Danio rerio: one gene and its partner. The protein of the gene in region 1 interacts with the protein of each later gene in a pairwise test. Links are inferred from orthologs where the notes say so. Each region holds a gene or a part of one and is shown in the gene's direction. Other genes may lie near its edges.

Region 1 (4,119 bases):
GCACAGGTGTCAAACTCAGTTCCTGATGGACCACAGCTCTGCACAGTTTAGCTTAACCCTAATTAAACAAACCTGATTAAACTAATTGAGTCCTTCAGGTTTCAGGTAAGTATATCGAAGCAGGGTTGAAGCTAAACTGTGCAAGGTTGCGGCCCTCCAGGAACTGAGTTTGACATTCCTGGCTTAAAGAATGGCAATAATTGATCACATGTTTAGCAAAATATGCAAGTGATTCAGTGTAGGCTAACTTGTTGTGCCTCCAACACAGGTAGAAAAGAATTCTGACCCAGATATGGCATATATCTGGCAGGGCAGGCATTTGTCTGGCACTGGCATACAGCATGTAGGCCAAACATGGCCCTGGTTTGGCAGAGGTGGCACCGTCTTTAAGACGGCACACAATAGGCCTACTCGGGCCAGATGTTAACAATTGATATATGAGCCATGAACGTTAGGCTTATCTTGACCCACATTTAAAATACATTTTTATTATTTTCAAATAAAGAAAAAAATTCTACCAAGTACCAATCATCGCTTCGAGAAAAAGCAAGCCCATAGCATGCCTAAAGCGCAATGATCCCTGAGTATATCAATTTCATTGCAGACGGGATACAAAAACATATCTGGTGAAGTTTAGGCTCAGTTATGGGTTATTAACTTGTCTGAGACTTGGCCCAGATATTGTCCATGTTTGGTCCTTGTCTAAAAGCCAGAATTGGTCCACTCATATACCATAATTTACTGCCGCAAGTGGGCCAAGCAAAAGCTGATTATGTGGGCCAGATATTTTTTGATATGTGGGAATAGCACCGACTGATGATGTTTTAAAAACACCAAAGGTCCGTATAAAGTATTAAAAAAACTGTTCTGTTTACATTAAAGCAAAAATTAGGCTACGTATACACAAAGCAATCTTGCAAACATTAAATGGTAAAATTCCCTAAATAACTATTACAGGCTATATAAGTGGTTTAATTGTTACTGTCTTTTTCTGATTAATACATGGTTTAATAATCTAGTTTGGACATTTCTGTGGTATTCTTGTGTTTGTGATGTCAGGTTAACAGACACCAAAACACGCCTTGTAGCAGGCAGAAAAGTGTAATAAACAACCACAAACCCTCTGTTTGAAGGGTAAGGGTTTGAATCGTGTCTGGACTGTTCAAACCCACTACTTATAATGTGGAAAACAACTCTTGCTCATAGATCAGATGAGAAAAATCTGAAGAGCCGAAACACACGGTCGTAACACAGGAAGTAACCCAATGTCCCGGATGTGCTTTCACAGCAGAGCGCCGTATTCCAGTTTTCATCGAGCGCCAAGGCTGTGCAATTCAATCACAGTAATAAAGTAATCAACGTGGAAAAAAACGCGATTAGTGCAAATATTAGGAAGTGATTTAATAATCCGTCATACGATGTCAGTTGTACCTCCTAATCGATCATCTACCGGTTGGCCTCGAGGAGTAAATCAGTTCGGCAATAAATACATTACCCAGGCGACTAAACCCCTCACCCTGGAGAGAACAATCAACCTGTGAGTAACTTGAACTTAAAATTCAACACTACAAACGATATATGCGATTACTTAAACAAGCTTTAATGGTTGTAAATCCTAGTGCTGCTGCATTGTGCCTTTCATGTCAGTACGTTAGCATTGTTAGCGTTTGACCATGGCAGACTACCGTAGCTTCTTGCTGCCAGCTCTTGTTTGCATGCGTAACAATACAGTGAAATATTCAGAGTTTTGTTTTTTATGTGGCAAAATGCATGCACATTTATGGCAGTGTGTACATATGCAGGGATATTGAAATATAAGAGTTCGATATAGTTCTTATTAGTTTTGTATTCCATATGTTGCAGTTAGCATTGTTCTCGGTGATTTATCCTAGGGCTCTTTGCACATTTATTCGAAAATATCACTAACATTAGTCGACAGGCGCAATGTTATTGAAATGTTATTTGATTATTTGTGGTTTATGGTGTTATTTGTTATTATTTTGGTGTAACGTTAAGTATGACTTAGAAATCAAACAGTCGAATTCTTGAGCAAGTTACGTAAACAAATCCCAATCATTGATTATATTGAGTGACGGTAGAATTGTTATTATAATTGTTGATTTTGTTAATAACGCTAACCTTATGCCAATGTTAATCAAATATTAATATGAATGATCTTTAATGTAAATTCAAATTTGATATTGAAACCCTTATTTGGGAGTATTATTTTTAATTTGTACAAAAAGCTGTATGAAAACACAATGGAATGAAACGCCCATAATAGGCGAGCACAAGATCCAAATTACACTTTGTATAAAATTAATAAATGATTGCTCTTTTAAAGGTAGGACCTGTGAAATAAAATAAAAAGTAAAAATAAAGCTTTTTAGATGTTAGTTTTGAGGATATCTATAAGCTAGTGTGCTCAAACAGTGACTCAATTTGCGTTATAAGATATATACACATCTAAAGCCCGCAGTTTGTCACTTCCGCCTAATCTATGATTATTCATAGGTCACTTCATGTTTTACTTACTCACCAAATCTTGACCAATCAAATGCTCTCTAGTATGTGAGCATAAACCCCACCCCCTGCCAAGATGGTTCTCATTTGCTATTCATTTGATGCCTTAAGCTCAAACACTCTCATTGGCAGAGATTGTTTGTGATAAAAACAAAACGCTATTCTCTGTTTTTATTTTCTAAAGGGGAGGAACTGCCACCATTTCATTATGTTTCAGTTGAGATTACCTCAAACATGGAATATAAATGCCCATTTCAAAGCACTTCACAAAACCTTTAAACATTCAAAATACCACAGATTGGTAATGCCTTCTGGTCAAAATTAGAGCAGCACAATATTAGGGAGAAATTACCAAGTGATATTTTAATCCTCTGCGATGTACATTGCGATAATTTTACTAGATGAAATGAGTAGGTCTATTCAAAAAGAATTCATAATTTAGGTGATTTATTAAGGGAGTGATTTTGCAATAATATACAGTAACAAACCAATCACAAGCTTTGATAAATACAGTTGGGAATCTGGCATAATTCAGACGCACAGATACATGAACCATTGGATTTTAATAACTTTTTGAAATAATTATGATGAAATGCATCCTCCATTACATAAATTGTGACTTTTTGTGACCCCTTGATATGCAACCACTTATTTGAAAACAAGATTCTTAAAGGTTTTGAAGCTTTATGGAAATTTACATGACTAGCGGCTAGGGCTGCACTGTATTTGAAAAATCTAACATTGGGATATGTTTTTGTTCTGTGACATAAATTGCAATATAAATACAATTTTACAAGCCTATTTGGAAAGAATTAGAAATTTTAGATTGATTGGGATGATTTTGTAGAAGAGTGCATGCATAAAAAAATAAGAAACAAGCATAGAAAAATTCAATAAAGAAAAATACAAATTACATAAACAGTGTTTTATTGTTTTTGAGGAGTCAAACTGCATTTAGGTGTACAGTAAATGATTAATTGTAAAATAAAACAAGCAAATTCATCATTATTATTTTTTAGTTAAAAGCTGTACACATGCTGTTAAAACCCTCACACAATCACAGGCCTCAAAAACACTTGAAATATTGTAAATTATAACCCAGACTCAACATTGCATATACTCGTGATTTGACTATTGCGAATGTTCACATTGCGATATCAATGCTGAAACGATATATTGTGCAGCCCTACTACTAGCGGCCACATACAGTGCTTGCCATCTTTTTTCCCTCATTATTTTGTTATGATGCTATGTTTTGTTTTGCAGTGTGTGGATTATTAAAGCTTTATCACACCTCAATTTAAATGAAATAACATGTTTGTTTTTCCAAAGATACCCTCTTACAAATTACACATTCGGCACCAAGGAGCCGCTCTATGAGAAGGACAGCTCGGTAGCCGCACGCTTTCAGCGGATGCGGGAAGAATTTGAGAAAATCGGGATGCGGCGGACTGTGGAGGGTGTTCTGATCGTGCACGAGCACAGACTCCCTCATGTTCTGCTACTTCAGCTGGGGACAACCTTCTTCAAACTGTAAGCTATAGATTGTGTGTTGTGGATGTGATGAATTCAATAGAGTGCTGCTGTTTAAGTGGT
Region 2 (4,253 bases), on another chromosome or scaffold:
TCCAGTGGACAGAAGCCGTGTGAACGAGTACGGCGTCTCCTACGATGAAAAACCCAAAGGAAAATCACATGAAGATTGACATCATCATCATCTAAAACCGAGGACAGATGCTGCGTTTGTCTATTTAAGCTCAGTTTTGCTCTGCTAACCGGAGAAATGACACTGGTTATTGGACTGAGACACACACACACAGCTCCGGAAGCTGGAGAGATTGGTTTCATTTTTACAGAATGTATTTGGATGGGGCTTTTCCATTCAGTCTCAGATAGTGTTTTGAATTAAGAGCATATCTCAAGGGTGCCAAACGAGCAGAGGTTCGGACTGATTATGGCTTTTTTGTTGGATTAATTTGAGTAACATGACTGTTGTTTGTGTGTTCAGAGAGGATGATGATGATGACGATGATGTGTCTGTTTGTTTGTTTTTGGTTCATTCCATTAAGTGTTTCTGTGATTAAACTGCTCAATTAAAGAGACTTTATTACACAGGCTGTCTAGATTATTATATTTTATATGCTTTATTACAGTTTCTGGTTCATTTTATATGACATTACAATCGCTGATTTAATTCATTTTAAAAGGCTTCATTACAGTTTCTGATATTTTTTACATTTTCTTTTATATTTTTATTACGGTGATTGATATTATTTATTTTATATTTATTATACAGTCGCTGATATTATTTATTTTATATTTATTATACAGTCGCTGATATTATTTATTTTATATTTATTATTACAGTCGTTTTATATATATATATACATATATATATATATATATATGCTTTAATAGTCATTCATTTTTGTTTTATTTATTTATTGGGCATGAAGTGAACTCTTAGTGCATACAAAATCACCAGGCATGTGTCTACACAATTAATTACATTCAGAATTACAAAACTTCTATAAGACAAAAGTACTGTAGCATAATACTAAAGGTTTAAGACAGTTCGGTTCGTTACAGTACCATGTAAATAACTTAAACGAAGTATGGGAATTTTACAGTATCATGGAATTTGATATATAAATAAATAATAAAATAGATAGCTACTTAATATTACTGGTATTCTATACTTCGGTACAAGTACCATAGATTAAAAGGCTCCTCACTAATATTACAAAGTAAAGCAAAAGTCTAATAAAATACCGAGTACAGTCACGTAAACGATTTTAAATATGATTTTAAATTTATATATTTATATACTCATTTATTCATTAATTCATTCACTAGTCAGCGCTGTCGTGAGCACATATACACAGCGAATAACTGACATCACAAACGAACCAATCACAGCTTTTGTTTTCTTCACTTGTCTCGCCCACTGAAGTGACGCACAAGTCTATATAAGTCTTCGCTCCACCCTTTTCCGGCCCTTTCCGTTTACTGAGATCGCAGCATTTGAGGTGCTCGGTTCTTCTCCCGAAGCTAAGGCCTTCAATCCGGCGACTAGCACCGTCAAATTTGCCCATCCGCACCAAAAAACTTAACCTACCGAAAGAACGATGGCATCTGTGTCCGAACTCGCCTGTATTTACTCCGCTCTGATCCTCCACGACGATGAAGTTACCGTCACGGTGAGTGTTGAGCTCCTAACCGGCGAAACGTGAACATCCGGGACTCAACCGCTACGGTTCTCGCATGCTACCCTGATTTTTGTGCTAATTTAGTATTTCTGCGTTTGCTAGTTCAATTACATCACATGTTTGGTGTGTTATTAGATAGTTAAGTCGCTGTGTTTGTGTGAATAGCAGTAAGCACGTTATAGCACATTTTCGCGCGCTTCCTGTCGTTATCCTGTACGGCTTAAATACTTCAGATAAATGTTCACATTGTGGCTGTAAACACGCATAACTGAACGTACTAGCTATCAGCACCTGGTAAGTTAGCATCCCTGTATCATGCTAATGACACATTAGCACTTTAGCTAGTAGGCTAAAGACTAGATAAGTTGGTCAGTTGACATGTGCTGGTATTCATTAATACAGTATTTCCTAAATAAGCATGCATTAGTTATCATGGTCATGTAAAAAAGTGTAAATATTTAAGCTTTAGACTGTCTTTTAAAAGTTTATTCTTTTTACACCTTAAAGCAAGACTCAATTAATGATGTTGTGAAAAGTACGTGTGTAGTTCATTCATCTTAGTTGTGGAGATTGTTTACAGGTTTTTTTTTTATTGACAGTTTTTAGTTGAATAACTGCACCAATGTAGCTTATTCGTTGAGATTTATATCTTGTTATTTGCTGAATAAGACCATAATCAAGTACTTCAATTCTTTACAATGCATAAAAAATAGTTATAGTCCATGTCCAAGTAGTCTATCAAGATAAAACATGTAGACCATTTTGAGGTATGTAAACAAAAAAATAAGGTTCCAACATGTTTTCAGTTTTGCATTTTAAATTTGTATAGCTTTCAAGAACTCAAAATTGATAGTTATGATAGCTGCTTTAACATTAAGTTATGATTGACCTGCCTGTTACAGTTATGAAATGGTTTGATAAGCAGGAAATGTTCACGGGCCAATGACATAACCACATTGAAATGGTCTAATTATACGCTGCATGATTTGCACTTAGCCAATTAATTATTTTTCTGATGTTGTTTTAATAACTCAGTGTATATTCTAATAACAAACATCACAATCAAAACTTTCACCAACAAGTGAATGAGACTATTAGAGGTGAATTTAAAGCATGTTCGGGGGCGTAATGACCTACAAATATTATTGTAGCATCTCAAAAACCATAACCTTACAAATAATTTTGCTGCTTTGATCTGATCGCTGCTATTGTCTTGCACAGTATTTGCATTAAATGAGTTGATGCACTGATATGAACTCTCTCTGAATGTGTTTTTCAGGAGGACAAGCTGAACGCTCTGATCAAGGCTGCCGGTGTGACCATCGAACCCTTCTGGCCTGGTCTCTTCGCTAAGGCAAGTTTATTTCACATCTGACAGGAGGATGATGGAGAGATAAATGTGAATGCCTTCCATCATTAAGTCCTCATGCTGTAGTGCAGGGGTGCTCGAACTCAGTCTTGGATGGCTGGTGTCCTGCACATTTTAGTTCCAACCCCAATTAAACACACCTGAACAAGCTTATCAAGCTCTTTCTAGGTATACTAGAAACATCCAGGCAGGTGTGTTGAAGGAAGTTGGGGCTAAACTCTGCAGGCCCTCCAGCACCGAGTTTGGACACCCCTGCTGTAGAGCATCTTGATGGTATGATTCAAGACTCAGATTTTATGCATGTTTAATGCATGTTAAAATATGAAATTGTTAACCAAATAGGCATGCAAACAAATATAAACTATGAATTGAATCATCCTAAACGTTTCTATATACATGTGACTGTTAAAAACTGCTGTGCAGAGAATTGCTCTTGAATTAAGCCCTCGCGCTGTACAGCAGCTTAATTGTTTCGAGTCTGATGGGATGTGTCTTGTGTTCAGGCTCTGGCCAGCGTGGACATCGGCAGTCTGATCTGTAATGTTGGAGCAGGAGGTGGAGCTGCTCCTGCTGCCGCTGCTGGTGCTGCTGCTCCTGCAGGTGGAGACGCTCCAGGTAAACATCACCCATCATCTGTTACTATACATTTAATGATGTGCAAGCTGACATTGAGTAGCACCTTCTTCTAAACAACCCTAAAACAGATTCTGAAAGTGAAGAGTGCTCTCTCTGGGAAAGCCTAAAATACAAATTATTAAAAGAAATAGCCTGAAGGGGTTGTCTTCATCTCTTCATATTTTTTATAATATGATGCGAGTAATCATGCAGCTAAGACTGATGTTTTTCAGGCATGTTGTCATATATGCTACTGATTTTACTACAGCTTAAGCAAGTTCATATTGAATTAGCTGCATTAAACTATCTGACTGGGTTTTCCAATGAAAGCAGTACATCTGTGCATCTCAGCAACACTTTTCACAACAATTTTCGCTTCAGATTTTAAATCTTGTTAAACAGCCCAACCCATTACTCAGCAGTTGATTTCTGAATTATTCAATTGGGATGCTTGATGGTCAGTACTGTAAATGTCAAATACTTCAGAACCCCATTTAAAAACCATTAGCAATGTTTTATTAAGTACATACTCTATCGATTGCAGTGAGTTTTAATACTATTACATTTGTAATGCATGATTTACTCATTGCCTACAGCTTTCCCCACACCAAATATCCATAAACTTGTTTTTGTTGTAACCATCCAGAAACTTGGGTTTGATCTGAGATGAATGCAAGATTTTGAAAG

The links.
Region 2: the proteins of nudt21 (region 1) and rplp1 interact in a two-hybrid assay, tested with the Homo sapiens proteins (2 studies listed by BioGRID and IntAct). The link is inferred for Danio rerio from reciprocal best matches to the Homo sapiens genes NUDT21 and RPLP1.

Annotation. Positions count from the first base shown.
Region 1 is NC_133193.1:24,124,128-24,128,246, reverse strand, and holds the start of nudt21 (cleavage and polyadenylation specificity factor subunit 5), read left to right. Parts: upstream 1-1,292; 5' UTR 1,293-1,418; coding exon 1,419-1,537; intron 1,538-3,855; coding exon 3,856-4,056; intron 4,057-4,119. UniProt on the Homo sapiens protein: Component of the cleavage factor Im (CFIm) complex that functions as an activator of the pre-mRNA 3'-end cleavage and polyadenylation processing required for the maturation of pre-mRNA into functional mRNAs.
Region 2 is NC_133194.1:2,213,930-2,218,182, reverse strand, and holds the start of rplp1 (large ribosomal subunit protein P1), read left to right. Parts: upstream 1-1,383; 5' UTR 1,384-1,501; coding exon 1,502-1,573; intron 1,574-2,861; coding exon 2,862-2,936; intron 2,937-3,454; coding exon 3,455-3,566; intron 3,567-4,253. Other genes in the region: lipid scramblase CLPTM1L, read left to right, coding at 1-79. UniProt on the Homo sapiens protein: Plays an important role in the elongation step of protein synthesis.